Linked DNA regions of Daphnia pulex. The protein of the gene in region 1 purifies or fractionates together with the protein of each later gene. This does not show direct contact. Links are inferred from orthologs where the notes say so. Each region holds a gene or a part of one and is shown on either strand. Other genes may lie near its edges.

What was found. The genes of interacting proteins can lie anywhere in the genome.
Region 2: the proteins of TATA-binding protein-associated factor 2N-like (region 1) and fragile X mental retardation syndrome-related protein 1-like purify together in Drosophila melanogaster (affinity purification with western blotting; 4 studies listed by BioGRID, with this or other methods). This does not show direct contact. The link is inferred for Daphnia pulex from reciprocal best matches to the Drosophila melanogaster genes vig and Fmr1.

What each region holds. Positions count from the first base shown.
Region 1 is NC_060019.1:5,854,497-5,857,300, forward strand, and holds the end of TATA-binding protein-associated factor 2N-like, read right to left. Parts: coding exon 2,667-2,804; intron 2,424-2,666; coding exon 1,550-2,423; 3' UTR 1,540-1,549; intron 1,474-1,539; exon of another isoform or gene 1,471-1,473; 3' UTR 550-1,470; downstream 1-549. Other genes in the region: uncharacterized protein LOC124191497, read right to left, coding at 100-143.
Region 2 is NC_060025.1:5,457,437-5,461,190, forward strand, and holds the start of fragile X mental retardation syndrome-related protein 1-like, read right to left. Parts: upstream 2,648-3,754; 5' UTR 2,538-2,647; coding exon 2,487-2,537; intron 2,161-2,486; coding exon 2,108-2,160; intron 2,051-2,107; coding exon 1,897-2,050; intron 1,792-1,896; coding exon 1,628-1,791; intron 1,488-1,627; coding exon 1,394-1,487; intron 1,330-1,393; coding exon 1,187-1,329; intron 1,127-1,186; coding exon 979-1,126; intron 913-978; coding exon 631-912; intron 413-630; coding exon 300-412; intron 229-299; coding exon 1-228. UniProt on the Drosophila melanogaster protein: Polyribosome-associated RNA-binding protein that plays a role in neuronal development and synaptic plasticity through the regulation of protein synthesis of mRNAs.

The DNA of each region.
Region 1 (2,804 bases):
TTTGAGAAAGGAATGAATCGACAAAAAAGAAACAAGAGGATGAATTTCATCAACATAATTCCGATTCAGCACGAGAGAATGTTTGTATCCGTTACTTACTTGGTGAAAGCTCTGCGCAATACATTCTTGTTTGCTCCCGCCATCCAATAACTCACGTCCGAATTGTTAGTTCTACAAAATGAGTTTGTTTGTTAACAAGGCCATCATCATTGAAAAAGGTCAAACATACTAACATAGTGGCCCAACCCCGGATGGACGATAGTTACCGTTAGTCATTCATATTTAGATCGACGACGTAGACAAATTGATTCAAACAGCGCCGCCGCCACTTGACAAGAATATTTCCCATGACGTCAACACGCTCAACGTTCTTCTTATAAAGATGCCCCGTGTCTGCTTTTCATCTGAAACGATGAAGGACGGTAAATCGACATACCATCCATCGCATCAAGGTCGAAAGACTCACCGACATTCGCCAAGATGTAAAACAAAACCTTGATTTCTACTACAAACTACTACGAAATAAAAGCGAAAGTTAACAAAGACAACTTCTTTTCCATTCAGCGCAAAATGGCGTTTTTTTTTTATTTTTTCTGAAACGGATCGTCATCTGTCACATGTCTACACAAAAGAGGGCAGGCCTCCTCCTAAAGAAAAAAAAAAGAAACCAAGTCATAACCACAACCACCCCACCAATTAACACAACTTCGTTTTTTTTTTGTTTGTTTTGAATACTTCAATGAACGGAGGCTCCAAGAGAATTCCAACTCATAACTGTAGGGGGGAGAAAAAGAAGAAAAAAATGGATAAAGAATACATCACACCTTAATTTTTTTTTCACGTCCTCAAAATACTTTGAACAGTCCAGACTGGGCTTGATTGGATGGGAGGGAGGGGGCGGGGAGATGTTTGGCGAGAGAAATTGACAAAAAAATATTTCCAACAAAGTCGAGAGAAAAACCCGTAGTAGTTTCATCATTAAGGGATACTAATTTTTTTTGTTTACTTAATCTTCCTATATGGAGAATCAATTAGGAATTAATGTACTTCGAGCTTTCATTGAGCTAGATTTTTTTTCTTGTTACGCAGGTGGGACGGGTTTCTCAAGAAATAAACTACTTCAACTTTGATTGCTTAACACCTGGCATGGTGTTGACGCTTGGAGGGAAATGAGGTGGGGCAGGGAGGGGGAGAAGGGATCGAATGCGAGGATGTAAATGTAATACACGACGAACACGCACACGCATAGAGAAAGACAAAAAAAAAAGAAAGAAAAGAAATGGAGCTACGTCATTTGATTTAACTATCCATCCTTAAGATAAACGAGGATGTGGTGGTGGTTATTGGCTTCTTTTTTTTTAAGGAGAAAAAAAATTGGTGAGTAGTGGTGGGGGAGCCTGGTCGAGCTGGCGGAGGAGGCTACTCGTATGTGTTCACGAAGAGGTGGTTTTTAGGGCACACCTGTCAACCCTGCTAAAACAAATAATAATTCAATTAGTTCAAGCTGGTTTAAGAAAGGCGTTTTATTTTTTTGGTTACCTATGAGGATTTAGCCGAGGGCCGGGAAATCCTTCTCATCGTCCACTTTAGGAGCGGCTGGCATGGACGGACCGCGATTACCACCACGGGATCCTCTTCCGCCACGGTAAGTACCACGTTCGCCTCCTTCGCGATCGCCGCGGTATCCACCACGATATCCGCCACCACCTTCACGTTGTTCGCCTCCTTCGCGATCGCCACGGTATCCACCGCGGTAACCTCCACGGTAGCCGCCTTCACGTTGCTCGCCTCCCTCGCGATCTCCGCGGAAACCTCCACGGTATCCGCCACCCTCACGGGTCTCGCCTCCCTCGCGATCGCCACCGCGGTATCCACCACGGTAACCTCCTTCGCGTTGCTCGCCTCCCTCGCGATCTCCGCGGAAGCCTCCACGGTATCCGCCGCCTTCACGTTGTTCTCCACCTTCGCGATCGCCGCCGCGGTATCCACCACGGTAGCCTCCCTCGCGATATCCACCACCTTCACGTTGCTCTCCACCTTCGCGGAAGCCTCCACGGTAACCGCCTTCGCGATCACCACGGAATCCTCCCTCGCCGCGACCCCTTCCGCGACCACGACCACCGCGATCGCTTCCACGACGCGAGTCAGAGAAGCGGATCTCGATGTCCAAACGCTTTTGGCGTCCAGCTCGTTGAGGATACTCGGCCGTCAGATCGATAATTTCCTCTTCGCTTTCATCGTCATCCTTCTTCTTGTCAAGAACAAAGGTCTTTTTCCATTGAGAGTTGTCTTCACCTTCTCCTGGCTTGCGAATATTGAACTCGGGCTTCTTGCGTTCACCCCTCAGAGCTCTCCACTCATCTAGCGTCAACTCCTTGGGCTCTTCATCTTCAGGAGCCACTGGAGCAGTCTCTTCTCCCTCCCTATAATTTGGAAAAGATTCAAATTATTATTTTACATCTAATAACAATTTCAATGGTAAATGTAAGTCTTTAAAAGTTGTCAGCATCCTTTTGGCTTGCCTTATTCAACGAAAGTTTCTCTGAAATCTTTCTCGGCGTCAAAGTCTCATCAGTTTGAAATAAAATAACAAAATAGAACCCATGCACAGTAGATAGTGGTTCAAGCTAGGAAAACAATTAGTTTAAAAATAAAGCCTTATTTACTTGACTTCAGCTGTTTCAGCAGGAGCGACGACTTCAGCCTCTCCCTCGACAACCTCTTCAGCGACAGCAGGCTCCAGCTGGCCCTCAATTTCGTCTTGGACGCTTCCCCAATTGTGCGGACCACTACCTTCACGTTTC
Region 2 (3,754 bases), on another chromosome or scaffold:
CCTCGTTCAACGTGCTCATTTCGTTCCAGACGATCAGCCCGTTCTCCTCGACCACGAGTTACTCCTCGACCCCTCACCGATGATGCAATCCCACTTCTTTCCACATTAAATCTTTCCACAAAACGACCACTGCTGACAGGTGCTCCTCTCCCTCCACCTCGACCCCGACCACGTGTCATGTTTCCTCGGTCACGATTTCCTCCATTATCTGGTTCAGCACTATACCCCCTAAAAATAAATTTAATTGGAGGAATGCCAAGAAATTTAAAATAAAACAAACAAACAAACAGCCAAAATACCTATCAATGCGTCGTGGAGGTGGGAAGGTAGGGGCAGATGTTAGGTTGCTATTGTGAATAGAGCGAAGTTGCTGATCGATCTCCAATTTCTCCATGCGTAATTGTTCCACTTCCTGGAAACAGTCAAAAAAGAGTAATTAATACAGCAGCTTAAAAATCTTTAGGGGGATGACAACTCAATGTATGATTGTCTACTGCTACAGAAAGTAACCATGTCAAGTATAATTAATACTGATTTGGAATCAACCATGCTGAATGAATAGAAACAAAAACGTTGCAAAGAGAGGCTACAAATGGTGATACTAGGAGGAACTAGACTAAAATTTCGTACTTTCAAATGTGCTAGATGATACTCGAGAAGGACTTTGGCATTGGCTATGGAGTCCACTGTGCCCACGAACACAAATGGAACCAATCCATCTTCGCGAGGATGAGTCGGATTAGGTTCGTTGTCTCCTTCAATTTTAACCCGGACAACATTACTCTTGTCGACAATCTCTTGAATGACACGCCCGTTCTTTCCTATGACTTTTCCGACCAAAAACCGAGGCACCTGAATGGATTCTTCGCCATATTCCAGCATTCCACGAGCTTTTCTTACTGAATCTTCAATCTGAAATTCGAAACCACCAATTACAACAAAACCACATGAAATAAAATAAGGCGGTAAATGAAATACTTCTCCGTGTATACGAAAGGTACAGGAATTCTCCAATAGCTCAATGTTGGTTATCCCATCAATCTTTCGAGCTTGTTGAATGTTGGCTCCATGCGCTCCAATAGCCAATCCCATCAAATCCTCCCTCACCGTGAACTCCTCCGTAAAGCTTCAGAAATAAGATAACTTAAGTAAGAAATGCAAAAAACTGTTGACGCTATTCACTCACCCTCCGCTAGAATGTGTTCTTGTACATTCGAGCTGTTTAGCAGCTTCTTCAGTTCTTTTGAGCAGCACCACTTTTTGCGTCAGGTTACGAAAATGCATATCCTGCAACAGACCAGCTCGCTTTCGACTGGATTCGTGCCGTGACTGAACAATCAAAAACATTAATACATTAATACCAGATCAATAAATAAAGAAAAACAAAACTTACCATAACACTAAGCATTCCTTTATCGGGTACATATCGACAGACGGCTGCTTCAATCGCTTTTTGAAATTCCTTGTGTACTCCATCCCTCTTAGCACTGAAACAGATAGTGGTGCAATTACAATTTGGTTTAGGTGTTTTTGGTATACACCAAATAAATATTGTTTTTCTCATTTCATTTGAATAATTAATACTGTTTTGGGTTTTGTTAAGTTAACAAGTGTAAGTAAAACTCACTATTCCCGTAGTTCTTCAGGCACCTCAATTTCAAATTTGAAAAAGTTGGCTTTTGTTAAAGGTGAATTGGTGTTTGATGGACGAATTCTCTCACCAGGTACTATTTCCGAATATGACATCTCCCAGCCAACATATTCCACGACATAAAACTCTCCTCTGATCATCTAAGAATAAAATAAATACCAATGAATTTCAATGTATTAATTCTAGATCATCTTTCAGAAATATTTTCTTGTTTCCTTTAAAAATGAATTAATCAAGAAAATTACCTTAATAACAGCTTTCCACCAACCAAATGCTTCCTGTTCATTTGCTTTTGAGTAAACTTCAATTTCTTGGTTTTCTACAAATGTAAATGGACCTTTGCTGTCCTTGAGAGGTAAGCGGGACCTTGAAAATAGAAACTTTGTTTCTGGCTGCCAACTAATAAAAAAGGGTAATTATTGGTTTGGTAAATTCTAACTTATTTAATATACATACTCATTCTCAAATGCAACAGAAATCTCATCTTCATGAACATCAGTGACAAATGCCTGTAGAAGATGGCATAAAATTCAAATAGTTATAACACAAAATAAGACAAACTAAACACAGCTATGAAAATTTATAAAAAAGGACGTAGAAATTTGCATCAAAACAGTCGGTAAATCCTTAATACTAACAAATTCTACAAGCCAAGCCATATTATCAAAAAGGGCAGGGCCGGTTCATTCACTACCGATTCCAGCCTAACATTTTCGGACTTAAAAGACTATAAACAATATTATCGTTATACATGATGAATCCAGAAGAAATAATTCAAATTTATACAGAATTGACATTGCTACAGAAATTAATAAATATGTATTTTATTATTCACCTTATACCAAGCCCCATTTTCACCCCGGACTTCAACGGCAAGATCCTCCATTTTCCTCGGGGAGCTCGAACACCGTTGCCAAATTGCTCAATTCCAAATTGCAATGCCTATGACTCGTTTCCCCTTGCCAGATTTATTCTAATGATCAACGTTTTCTCAGAGTTGGTTTTCTATTGCCAATCGTCAGTTTTCGTCACGTGTCGCTTTCGTTAAACTACTGCATCTTAAAAAAAATTAGAATACAGACTAAAACTATATTTCATTAGATAATGTAAAATACAATTCCAATTTTATGGAATGTTGCTAAAACGAAAGCGATCCCTATTTGTTTTGACATAAAATCAGGTTAACACTTCACAGTTGGGAATTGGGATTAATAAGATGTTGATGGTTACCTATCAACTTTTACGAAAGATCGTCTATCAACTTCTTGCTCTCTATTGAGCCTAGAATAATGTTTCAAAAATTACCGGTGGTTTGCATTTCTTAAGAAAATTCCTTAAGTTTCTGTGTAAATTTTAAGAAATCTTATGCTATCCCGAGGACTCGGAATTTATTATTTCAAGTCAAAACCATAATGGATGTAAAAATATGTGAATAATCGCATTCGAGCTGATTCTAATGGAAAAAAAGAAAACATTCTAATGGAAAACAATTTATTAGAATAAAAATCCCAACCTCAATTCGTCTCAATTAAAAACAATTCGTCTCAATTAAAAAAAAAAGAAGTTAAATAGCAGAAAAAGAAAGTGTTACCGCTATACTTGAATGATATAGGCACACAACTAACGGTCACGACAGCTGAAGCTGATAGTTTGCTTCTTTCCAAAAGTATTTTATCACGCCAATTTCGATTATACTTAACAAAAACAAAAAGTAGATTTATTTGCTGTAATCTTTTGATGTAAAAATTCAGCGTGAATCGAAATGGATACCCAAAACCGAATATTCATAAAAGATTCAAATTGAGTTAAACTGAATCGTGATTTGGCCAATTCGAGTCGAGACCATTGGAAAAAAAAGAACTATCCAACTCAGGAAAATTACCGCAGTTTTTGGAAGCTTCGGAACAATTCTCCGATGCATATGAGAATATGCACCTCTAGACCTTTTTATTGTTACTTAATCCACGGTACCAACAAAAGTAGCATCCGTAACCCGAACCCGATGCCAAATTTTAACAGCACTTTGTCTGCCCTACTGCATCAGTTTAAACGATAAATCAATTTAATACATGATTAGGTTAAACTAATTAATGTTACAAATTC